3 linked regions of the Ovis aries genome follow. The main gene of each other region encodes a partner of the protein of the gene in region 3 in a complex. Links are inferred from orthologs where the notes say so. Each region holds a gene or a part of one and is shown on either strand. Other genes may lie near its edges.

Evidence for each region.
Region 1: the proteins of MYO5A (region 3) and MLPH are in contact, whole or in part, in a crystal structure (PDB 4KP3), measured with the Mus musculus proteins. The link is inferred for Ovis aries from reciprocal best matches to the Homo sapiens genes MYO5A and MLPH. Residues at the interface, in NP_034994.2 of Mus musculus: Asp1524, Val1527, Arg1528, Leu1531, Thr1532, Ile1535, Asn1536, Lys1539, Ser1570, Gly1571, Leu1588, Thr1589, Asn1590, Phe1591, Asp1592, Leu1593, Ala1594, Glu1595, Tyr1596, Val1599; in NP_443748.2 of Mus musculus: Lys184, Lys186, Arg187, Leu188, Leu189, Ser190, Phe191, Arg192, Asp195, Phe196, Glu197.
Region 2: the proteins of MYO5A (region 3) and SPIRE2 are in contact, whole or in part, in a crystal structure (PDB 5JCY), measured with the Homo sapiens proteins. The link is inferred for Ovis aries from reciprocal best matches to the Homo sapiens genes MYO5A and SPIRE2. Residues at the interface, in NP_001369276.1 of Homo sapiens: Asp1551, Val1554, Arg1555, Thr1559, Ile1562, Asn1563, Lys1566, Ser1597, Gly1598, Leu1615, Thr1616, Asn1617, Phe1618, Asp1619, Leu1620, Ala1621, Glu1622, Tyr1623, Val1626, Asp1629, Leu1630, Gln1633; in NP_115827.1 of Homo sapiens: Arg404, Pro405, Arg406, Val407, Leu408, Leu409, Lys410, Ala411, Pro412, Thr413, Leu414, Met417, Glu418, Met420.

Annotation. Positions count from the first base shown.
Region 1 is NC_056054.1:3,661,282-3,664,899, reverse strand, and holds part of MLPH (melanophilin), read left to right. Parts: intron 1-736; coding exon 737-856; intron 857-1,714; coding exon of another isoform or gene 1,715-1,792; coding exon 1,793-1,997; intron 1,998-3,618. UniProt on the Homo sapiens protein: Rab effector protein involved in melanosome transport. Serves as link between melanosome-bound RAB27A and the motor protein MYO5A.
Region 2 is NC_056067.1:14,211,650-14,215,267, forward strand, and holds part of SPIRE2 (protein spire homolog 2), read left to right. Parts: intron 1-1,735; coding exon 1,736-1,816; intron 1,817-1,916; coding exon 1,917-2,081; intron 2,082-2,573; coding exon 2,574-2,660; intron 2,661-2,771; coding exon 2,772-2,904; intron 2,905-2,987; coding exon 2,988-3,157; intron 3,158-3,618. UniProt on the Homo sapiens protein: Acts as an actin nucleation factor, remains associated with the slow-growing pointed end of the new filament.
Region 3 is NC_056060.1:55,984,122-55,988,365, forward strand, and holds the start of MYO5A (unconventional myosin-Va), read left to right. Parts: upstream 1-1,424; 5' UTR 1,425-1,500; coding exon 1,501-1,527; intron 1,528-4,244. UniProt on the Homo sapiens protein: Processive actin-based motor that can move in large steps approximating the 36-nm pseudo-repeat of the actin filament. Can hydrolyze ATP in the presence of actin, which is essential for its function as a motor protein. Involved in melanosome transport.

The sequences.
Region 1 (3,618 bases), on a different chromosome or scaffold from region 3:
AAAGAGAGCCTCTGGGGGTCTGGACGGGCGACAGAAGAGGATGGGGGAGGGGTGGGGCAGGGTGGGCGGTGCTGGATGGAGACCCTTGGAGAGTCAGGGGGTCTCTGAGAGCCACACTGGCAGTTCTGCCAGCTGCTCCCTGGGGAGCACATGCATCTTCTTACGAAAATAACACTGTACTTGTGCTGTTTATTTACTGGGCTCCCGAAACACTCTCTAGTGTCTGAAATATTCCCTGCAAATACATTCGAAGGGTAGAAACCATTATGAAGGAAGGATTTGGAACTCAGCTCTGCTCTAGAATCTAGAGGTGAAGGAGCTCTTGGGGGCCCCTTCCCTACCTCCTCCCCGTGCTGGGCGCCCCTCCTTCACCAAGGGGGGAGAGGCGGGAGGGCCCCCTTAGCCTGAGAAACCCCGCCTGCCCCCCGAGGCTGCAGCCCGGGCCTGTGACCTCAGCACCTCTGAGCAGCCAGGTGCCCGTCGGAGGCCCAGCGGGTATTTGCCCCTGCTCTTCTAAGAGGGGCTGGGGGTGCAGGTCCTGTGATGGGGGTGGGCTCTGGGCGGCCCTCAGAGCCTCCTCAGGGTCTGCTCGAGTTCGTGTCTAGCACAGAAGGCAGATGGGCCCGTGGAAGCACCCTCTCCCACAACCCCCTGCTGCCTGGGGTCGGGAAGGCTGCCCCCCCCCCCAATCAGGCTGACCCTCCCTCCCCTCTCCCTGGAATCTCTTCCTGCTCAGAAAAAGCGCCTCCTCCCCATCCACGGCTGGGACTTTGAGGCCGACTCCGACGACTCCGATCCGTCCTGTGGTCACCCGCCAAGCCTGTCCTCGGTCTCAGGGGCCACGGACGGCCTGCAGGTCAGTGGACTCTCTTTTCACCCCTGAGTTAACCTGGGGGACAGGTTTTTGGGCCCCAGGAAAGGACAGCATTCTGGGCGACAGTCTGATGGCCCTGTGGGCATAGCAGCAGAGGGGGGAGGCAACTGGAGTCGGGGTACAGAAGCCTCACACCCTCCTGTCCTGGAGAGCCTGGGTGTGCTGCTTTGAGAAGAGGGGTGCAGGGCCGATGAGTCGGGGGCCTGGGTTGTCTAATGAAGGCAGACTCCCCGTGACGCAGGAGCGCAGGGTAGAGGAGTCAGACGGTCCCCGAGTCCCACACCCCTGGTCTGATCCGCAGGGCTCCTGCACCTTATTGCCCAAGCTAGGACGGTCTTGTGGTGGAAGGGGCTGTTGGTAATCGCACCAGGACACAGGGCCCCCACAGGGCTGCCGGGGAGAGCCTGGCTGTGTGGTCCCTCAGCTCCTTGGCTCTGTGCCCTTGGTCTGGGCGACCTGTGTGAGGCTCCTCGCCTCCCACCTCACGTGGAAAAGGGGTGATCTCTGCCTCATGGGATCCCTTCCATGAGGGACTGGAGACAGGCTGGCGCACTCCAGCCCCAGAGTGACGGCGCCCCAGCTGGAGCCCTGACGTCTCAGCGCCCTGGCGCGGGTGGTGCCAGCCCAGGACAGGGTCCACCCGGGGCGATCTACAGACCCCTGGGTGCAGGGCCCAACAGGGCAGAGAGCTGGGAGCCGGCACCCATCAGGTCTTTGGTCCACGGTCCTGCTCTGGTGGCAAGTCCAGAGCCCTTTGAAATGAAAGGGAGTTGAATTGCTGGGGTGGAGGGGAGGGGTGACTTGTGTTTGGTCGGTCAAATGATGCCTAAAAACTCTCAGTCCTTGGACAGGAAAGACCCACATTCCAAGGAGCTGCCTGTTCCTAGTGAAACCTGCCAACCGTTCCCATGTGCTCAGGCCCTCACAGATGACCCCTGCGCAGAGGAGACCACCCCCCAGGAGGCTGGGATCCTGGACCAGGCTGATGCCAGGGCCCCCGGGTGCCACCCCCGTCCAGAAGAGCAGAGGGTCGGCCTCTCGCCTGCCGGACTAGACGAGCTCTCGGAGCTCTGCCTGCCGGGAGAGTCCTGCACTGCAGGCCCCGGGGTCGCCGCCACTCCCAGTAAGTGCGCTTGACCGTGGTCTTCCACACAGGCTCGGTGTAGAGGAGGGGTCTCTGGAACCTGGCCCCCCTCCCAATCCCGATCCGTGCCGGGACACTGGCCGATTGCCAGGAGCCCCTTCCTTCCTGGGATTGTCCAGCATGCGCGGTCCTGGCAGATGCCATTGTCACCGGAGCTCCCCGGGGTGGGATGCCTCCCCGTAACCCTCAGAGGTACCAGCTCAACCCCCTGGCTGGCCACACAGCTCACTGCCGCCTATGACAGGGGACGTCGAGTGGGAGTGGGATAGAGACACACAGGTGTCCCTGAAATGACTAGGGTCACCGGCCACCTGGACCAACCTTCCTGACCGAAAGACCAGGCAGTTCCAAACCTGGGACCGAAATAGGGTGCAGGTCCGTCTGGGCCACCTGCCTGCCAGCTGTGACTCGGGAGGTCTGCTAGTGCTGAGGCCCTGGGTTCGCTCAGTTTGATTTTGTTGTCAGTGGCTTTGAGATGAAATCTCGAATCGCTCTCTGTCTCTGTGCCCTGTGGGAGCGGGCACCAGGGTCCAGGGGGTCAGGTGTCCGAGTGATGTAGAAGCCGATGAGACCACAGACAGCACAGGCTGCCCGCCACAGTGTGCTCCCGCCTGACCTGACCGCAGTGGGGGCCAGCTCCCAGGGAAATGTAGTTAGACAGTGTCTGCCAGGAAATGGGTCTTCTTTCCATTTTCCCTTTTCATTGTATTATAGGGACTCTAATCTCATGATCCACACGCCCATTAAGATGCTGGAGGCATTTGGGGGGTGGGGAGGGGACTTTTATTGCCCCACAAACAATGGATAAGTGAATCTACATTGACTGAGTCTTTGGATGAAGACGTAGATCAGCACATTTCCTCCCGGGATCCCTCATCACCCCCAGCACGCGGATGGCGGGGGCAGCGGGAGGGGAGGGGAAGACAGACTCTGTGGAGCTGGGGCAGGTGCCTGGGGGAACCGGCAGCTCTGAGTACCAAGCCCAGCTCTGCTGGCCAACTCGCCACCCTATCTCATGGACTCTAAGACTGTCACCTCGCCTCTTAAATCGGGAGCATCTTACAGCAAGTATGGGAGACTGATCGGTAGTGCTGCCTCAATAAATGTATCAGACAAGTCACAGGGTCTGAGCTTTAAAGGAGTACAGTGTGTGCCTGATCAAGCCTCTTAACCACCAGGCCTCGGTGCCCTCATTGTAAACCAGGGCCAGTGCCTAACTCACCACAGTGTTGGGGACTTTAAATGGGATTGTTGTATCTGTTAGCTACTGCCGAGTAACAACTTATCACAAACGGACTGGCTTAAAGCTACATGCGTTGACAAGCCCACAGAGGCCAGGTGTCCGGCACGGCTTCCCCAGGTCCTCAGCACAGGTCTCCTGGGCTGCAACCACAGGGTCGGCAGGGCCAGAGCCTCATCCGAGCTCAGAGCCCCGCCCCCAGGCCGTGCAGGGTGTCGGCAGAGCCCCGCAGTGGGTCAGGCACAAGAGCAGCTTGTGGACGCTGACTCCCGGGACATGGGCTCCTGTGTGTCCTCCCACACAAGCTCACCCCTTCCCTGTCCCAGCATGGCTGTGTATGGTGTGCCCCAGGCCAACTTG
Region 2 (3,618 bases), on a different chromosome or scaffold from region 3:
GTTTTGATTGGACTCTAGAGGATGAGTGGGGACTATGTCTGAAACTCATGCCCCACTAGGGAGATGTCCATTCTGGTTTTCCTGAGACGCCCTTCAGAGCATTGTCTTCTTGGAGCCACTGCTCTTGCTATAGCAGCCTCTTCAGGTCCACTGCCGAGTGGATCCTCCCTGGAAGACAAGTTCCTCTTTTTCTTGAGGACCCTCCTGTTTCCTGACTTTTCAGGGTGACTGTGTGGTTCCTTTTTGGGGAAAGATTTCTTCCTCTGGGGAGGAACTCCACAGCCAGCTGTCTCTTCAAGGTCACCACTAACTGGCTCCTCCTTGGAAAGCATTTCTTTTCCTTGAGTTTGAGAAGGAGACAGATGGGTCTTCCATTCCATTCTCCCGAAGAGCCTCTTGGGCTTGTTTTTTCTTCTTTGGGGTCTTTTGCTTGTCTCCTCGCACTCCTGTGTGGCACTAAGGATCCTAATGATTTTCAGTTGCCTGGCTGTTGCTGAGGTCAGTTCCTTGGCCAGGCAATAAAAGCTCTTTCTTTAAGTGTAAACAGCTCTAGACTTCAAGCAGTTGACCCAGGAGAAGTCAGGACTGGAGGAGGCAGTGAGAAGTGGGCTACTGGCAGTGTGTGACTGGGCTGGCATTGAGAGCAGAAACAGCCTGCTCAGGGGCAGTAGAGCTGCTCCAGAAAGGACAGGAGACCCACCTTCATGCCCTTTGTCCACAGAGACGCAGGTCACACCCAGCTCTATTTTTAGAACCACACACCTTGTGCTTCTCAGAGACTTGGCTGAGTTTTCTAGAGCATCCCAGGGCAGTTTGGCAAGTGGCTTGGGAGGGAAGCTGGGGTGACCGGTTCTGTTTGACCTGGGGGATGGGGTGGCAGAGGCTGTGTGCTAAAGGCAGGTGCTCCTCCAGCATGGAGGGCCAGTGAGAGCAGAGCCCCCGCTGCTGCTAAGATCCAGGGCAATGAACTTAGCAGCCTCTTCACAAATTCTCAGCAGAAAACAGCTTCCTGAGCATTCCCAACATCCTTCCTGGGCCCTCACCTTGCTGGTGGCGTTTTTCCCAGTTTGTGAAATACATCTCTATGACATTGGGGTCTGCTGAGTGACTTGCCCTCTTGCCCATCCGTCCACCCATCCAACTATCCACTTACTGATTCATTTATTCACTCAACCAATGCTTAAGACCTAGCATGTGTCACACAATACTGGGAGCCAGATTTAAAACAGCCCCAAAGCTGAAAACATGGTTCTGACCTCATCGAGCCAACCATTCAGAAAACAATCAAAGGAGCAGATGACTGTAGGCTCCAGATGGGATGACATGCACAGAAGAGGCCGTGCTGTTCCACGAGGGTGGGTGTGCCCTGTGAGCGGCAGTCTGGAGCCCTTCCCAGATGCGGGAGGGCCTCACGCCTGCATTGTGGAGGATGGGGCCCCCGTGGAGGAGTGTGGGTCAGTGTGAGGAGGCCATGGGTTCTGCTGCAGCCAGGGGTTGCTGCAAGGGTCATGCTTCCCCCGGCCCTTGCACGGGAGGAGCGGCCACCAATAGCCAGCAGGACATGAGTGTTTCCATGTGGTTCTAAGGCTGATGGCTTGGTTCCCTCGGATACCTTTCTGTGCCCCAAAGCCTTGTCCAAAATGCCCACGTGGTGCAGAAGCGTCCCCAGGGGGCAGACCAGCAGGGCGCACAGCCCCACTAATCCCGTTCTCCCATTTCTCCCGGACTTAAACAGATGCTGCAGAGGCTCCGGGAGGATGAACCGCAGGCAGAGAAGCCCCTTATGGAGCTGGACAGCCTGAGGCGCACAGACTGGGTAAGACACATGCCCCCCACCCCCACCAGGGCACAGAGGGGGCACAGGCCTGGAGCCCCGCCCAGGGCTAACGGCCATTTCCTTCTTCTCGTGGGCCTAGGCCCGACTCTGGGTCCAGCTCATGCGGGAGCTTCGCCATGGGGTGAAGCTGAAGAAGGTGCAGGAGCAGGAGTTCAACCCCCTGCCCACAGAGTTCCAGCTCACCCCCTTCGAGATGCTCATGCAGGACATCCGTGCCAGGAACTACAAACTGCGCAAGGTCATGGTGAGCCACTCAAGGTCATAGTGGGCCAGGTTAAAGAGGTCACATGTTCAGGCCCCTCTGCCTGCCGGAGCCCCTGCTTGGTGCGCTGGTCACTGAACCAGGGAGTCCAGTGGGAATGGGCAATGTGGCCTCGAGTCATATACCTCATGGTCCTTTCAGGGACATAGTGTGACATTGGCAGGGAGAAGGGGACCAGGGGCGGGAGCTGAGGCTGTGGGATTGTCCCACTTAACTCTCACAGGGCCTCGTGGTGTGCCAGCGTTGCTCTGAGAATCTAAACATGTGAGTTAATCTCACTCTTACGAAGACCCTGTGAGGTAAAGCCACTGACCCGCGTTTCAACATACAAAATCTGAGATGCAGGGAAAGCTGGTGGTCAGGTCTTGAAGGCCACAGCCACACAACCACTGAGGGGGAGGCTGGGTGAACCCGTTATGGCTGCGGCCCAAGCAGATGGCCCCTTAGCCTTGCTGCCCTCCTTCTCTCCCACAGGTTGACGGGGACATCCCTCCCAGAGTGAAGAAAGATGCCCATGAACTCATCCTGGACTTCATCCGCTCCCGGCCTCCACTGAAGCAGGTACCAGCCCCGCGGGGCATCCCGAAGCTTGGTTCTGGGACGCTGCCTGCCAGAGCACGCAGGGCCTCCAGGGAGCTGGCCCCCCACCTGGTGCTGCTAAACCCCCTGCAGGTCTCAGAGAGAAGGCTTCGCCCCTTACCTCAGAAGCAGAGAACTCTGCACGAGAAGATCCTGGAGGAGATCAAGCAGGAACGCAGGCTACGCCCTGTGGAGAGCAGGCGCTGGGACGGCCGGGGCGAGCGGGGTGAGCATGGGACACCCCTCCCCTGCACCTTGTCCTCCCCCGCACTGTCCTGTCCATCCTGCCTCACCTCCTGCCTCCCCCAGGGTTCGGCTCTCTGCCCTGCATCCTCAACGCCTGCTCTGGGGACGTCAAGTCCACTTCCTGCATCAACCTGTCCGTCACGGATGTTGGGAGCAGCGCCCAGCGCCCGAGGCCCCGGGTCCTGCTCAAGGCCCCTACGTTGGCTGAGATGGAAGAGATGAACACTTCTGAGGTCAGAGCCCACAGGTTCCTGAAGAGAGACTGACATGAGGAGGAAGTGGGGCAGGGGGGGAGGGGAGGAGGGATGAGGAGGGGAGGGAAGGAAGAGGGGAGGAGAAGTAGGGGAGAGAAGGAGGTTCTAGAGAACAGAAGACAGCCAGGGTGCAGCATCCAGCTGTGGGCCCTCTGCTCGGGGTCCTGTCTGCACCCTGCTGTGAAGCTGTGTCCTGCTGTGGGGCTGGGTCTGCCCTGGGGACAAGCCTGGCGGGGCTTAGGCACCCTCTCCCACCGTGGTCACTCACAAGGGTGACTGAGACAGTGGCCTTGAGCCTCTGTTGCCTCAGCACATAAAAGGATGAAATGGAGAGCCACGTCCTCCTGGGCTGGGCAGCCACACTTGGAGGTGCAAAGCCTACAGGTCCCAGCGTGACTCCCCATCCTGGCTGCATTACCCTCTGACCCTGGCGACTGGGC
Region 3 (4,244 bases):
CTTAAATCTCAATCCAGTGCCCTTCCTGGTGTACTGCTCATAGCTGCACAGATTATCTCTTTTTTAAAGAAAGAGTGGGATCCAAAGATGTGGTTTCAGAACTGGAAGGTACAGAGAATTCTGCAGGTCTCTTTAGTTATTACCTCTGGCAGCTCTGAGCAGACTGTGGACAGACAGTGAGTAAGGGGAGGACTGGCTCCAAGTGTCCCCCCAACAGTGATCTTCCTTCAAATACACATGCAGGATACACACCACTACCAAGGGCACCAGCCTTGAGAGATGCTCTTGATGGAAATCCCAGAGCCCCAGCACTGACACTAGGCACCACTTGAGAGTTCAAAGAACTGAGGGAAGATGGCCACACTAAAAAAAGGTTGGGATGAAAAATACGGAGACTAGCCAAGCTGGAATGAAAGTGTGGCTGGGTAAGAGGTAGGGGATGAAGACGGCATGGGGGTGGAGTGGAAGGATCACATTCTTGTGCTTGAAGTGCAAGGATAACAGCGACTAGATAGAGAAAGAGGCTGGGACCAAAGGGTATTGTACCGCTATACAGGCGCAGGCCTAGGAGTGGAGGTTCCAGGGCTGCCCCATGGCGGCATCTTGGTACCAGGCGCACTTACAGTCTAAAAAAACCCCTATGCTTTGGTTTCACGAAACGACCCTGTGGCAGATGCTGAAGCAGTCGGGGTGACCATGGTGATTATTTCTCTCGGATTCCCGGTTCTTGCTCACTCCCAGGCCTCTAAGGCTAACAAAGCTCTTCTGGAATTCTTGGTTATTCTGTGACCTTCCAAGAAGCCTCTCCCCAAATTCCTTTCTCTACAAATTCTGGGACGCACAGGAGAAGCACCCTGCAGACTCGCAATCATTTACCTGGCCACCCTCAGTGACACAGCTATCGCTTCCCCTCTCGGGGGCTGGGCTATTCTGCACCTTCCGGTGATTGCTTGGGGTCGGGGGCATCCAAGAGGCGACGCGCCCACGGGAAGGGTGTGCGAGCAGCGGGTGTCCTGGGGCGGGCTTCTGGGCTCTGCAGCGCGGGAGGAGGCGGCGGCGACGCCGGCTGGCAGGCAGATGATGCTTGGGACCCGCAGCCGTTGGGAGGCAGCGTGAGCCCGAGAGAACCCGAAGCCGCCTCGGTGGCAGCAGCGCCGGAGCGCAGCCTCCTCCCGTTCCCATAATGCACAGGGAGGCGGCGGCGGCAGCATCACTGGCCGCCTGGGTGGCTGTGGCGGCGACCCGGAGGACCCCGGGCGCGCCGCGCGCGCGCCACTGCTCGCGGCGAGCCCGGGCGTGATGGCGAGCCCCCCGCAGGCCGCCAGCTGCTGAGGCGCCCCGCCCCGCCCCACCCCGCCCCGCCCCGCGCGGCCCGCCCCGCGCGGCCCTGCCCTCCTCCCCGCCAGCGGCTGCCGGGGCGCTTCCTAGTCGGCGCGGGCGGCCGCCCAGGAGAGGTGCGGCCTCCGCACAGCGGGGGGCGTCGGCGCCGCGGGTCGCGCCATGGCCGCGTCCGAGCTCTACACAAAGGTAAGGCGCCCCGCGAGCCGCGCAGTGGGGAGGGGGCCCCGCCACCCGCCGCCGTCGGCTGTCAGGCCAGGGAGGGGCCGGGGCGGGGGGCCCCGTGCGGCCCCGCCTGCACCATCCCCTTTCCGAGCCTTTCAAAATCCCGGTCCCTGCCCGTGGGTCAGCTGCAGGGGCGCCTTCCTCTTTCGGGCGTTGATGGTTAAGGCGGCGGGGGCAGCCTGCCTCGGGGTGCCTCTCTGGTCCCTGCCACGCTTCTGGGCCTGGAGCAGCGCGGGTCTCTAAGTGGAAAGAGGGCCCCTGTGGATTTAGTAGGGCGGGCCTGGGTCAGGATTGCTCAGCTCTCAGTCTTGCTTTAGGAAAAATCCTGGCTGGTGGGAGATGCTAGATCTGGTAGATGCTAGATCTGGTCGGTCTCTCCCTTAGGGACACGCGCTTAAAATAACGTCTTGTGTTGGTATGCGGTGCCACTTGAACCGCCAGCCAACCTTTCTGTGAGATTTGGAATCCTGCAAACGGTCGCGTCGATTTTCACCTTTAGTTGCCCGGTTTCAGATTGCTTACCCTGGGGTGGAGAGCCCCTGGGAAGATACGAATAAATGCAAGCTGATTTCACTGGGATGGTGGATACTCATTTGTCGCTGGGAATTTGCAATCTGCGTGTAATCCCTCAGAGCCTTGTTAGGCTCCATGTCTTCACCAGCCGCTGGGGCGAGCCTTCTCCTTCTGGGTTTAGTTCAAGGGAAGTGGCAGCTTTTCCTTTCTTATACTGACGCCAATATTCTCTGGTGCTGCTGATCTCTGAATGGCATATTTTGGAGAACTTACCCGTCAAGACAGTGTGTGGTGCCCTTTGTGACTGTGTGTAGTCATGGCATTTTATACTACCACTCCTGTGTAGATCAGTGTTTTGCCAGCTATTAATTACCTCTAATGCCAGTTAACAGAATTGCCTTAACTACTCAAGTTTGCATTTGTGTCTTGCATTTCAAGTCTACATTTATGGTCCCAGAATCATCGCTTCCAAATATGACCCAAGAAAGTCCAAGTTGCAGCATGTTATAGAAGGAAGAGGTCTGGACACCACCACACACACCCCCCCCCCCGCCCCCCCACCAGAGACCTTGATTCTTCTAGTCTGGGCCTTTTCACTTACTGTGTGACCTCGGGCAAATCACTTAATCTCTCTGTACTTTAGTTTACACATCTGTAAATGGAGTTAATTTTACCTGCCCTGCCTCTCACAAGGCTGTTGTGAGTATCAAACTTAATAATAGATGGGATTGCTTTTGTAACCTGTGAATTTCTTTACAAGTATAAGGTATATTTCTTCAAGCATGAAATGAGTTTGCAAGAAACATTTCTTGGGATCTCTTTGTTTCCAGCTGCAGATTTGAAAACTACACAATTGAAACTTCTCTCTAAACCTGGTCATTCTTAAGGCATTGTGGATTCTAACATATGATTGAATGCGATTGGAAATTGATCTGTATTTACTTCATTAAGCAACACTTACATAGAGCTAACTATGTTCCAGGTACTGTTTTAAGTGCTTTATACATATTAGCTCATTTCTTAGAGGTAAGTGCTAAGAAATATCAGTCATTTTCACAAGAAGGGATAGGGTCTATAAATATTCTTCAATTACTTTGTATAGACCCCATTCTTCACTGCCTGAGCAGTCCATCCTTCAGCTGCCTGCCTATTTGTAGCCTGCTTAACAAGACTGGTTGGATAATACGTTTCTCTTGGATTTTGGATCTGTATTCCCACCCCCAGCCCCCATACACACACCCCCAAATGATTGGCAAGAAAACAAATTTTTAAGATCCTGGGATTTTTAAAATTGTAAGTTTTGGGGCTTTCATAGTAGCCTCATCACAATCTGTTTTAAAATTCACCCTCTAGTCATTGTAAAGACAAACTGGTTTAGGCATCAATAAGGAAGTTGAGCTTAATTGTCTTCTCCTAAATACATTTGTATCTAAGAATAATCTGGTCACTTGGCTTGTTGGCTTATTCTTTTTGTGAGTGGACCTTAGCTTAATGGCAGGCAGAACTATTTATTGAGCTCCTCCTGAATGCCAGGTACCCTGCGGAATGTTCAGGAGTTCTCACATGAACAAGACACAGTCCTTTTCCTCAAAGGACTCACAGCCTGCTTCTTTTATTTTTGGCCCAATTTGAATCTCCAAGGGCATAAATAACCTGCTGTTGCCTCAGCAGCAGGCAGACAGCTGGTATGATATTTATTTGTAGAAGTTAGGGAACAGGTTGGGACATAAGAAGGTTGGAATGATTCTAGAGATAGAGGCTTGGGTAGTGATTATTAGAGGAAGAGGGAAATCATTAGAAGTAATATCAGTGGATAAACACAAGAATTTTTCCCTTGCAGAGAATTATAGGGAAGGAAGTTCTGGGGTAGTCTACAAAGAAAGACGTAATAGTGGCATGCCATAATTAGGATATTCAACATAAAGCAGTTAAATTTGTAAAGTGCCCTTTAAAAAATGTCATTCAGAGCTTAAAGGCAGATTTAGATGTGTGATACAAATCAGCTCCTATTACAGTGAAAGACACAAGATCATTCAGTTTATTCTTTTTAGCTACATTGATAATAGTTTTGTCACAGCAATTTAGCAGGGCTTCCTCTTTGTAAATTTTTCAAGCTGTATAAACATTTTCAAGGCAATAGCCTGGTTCCTAGGATACAACATTTCTGG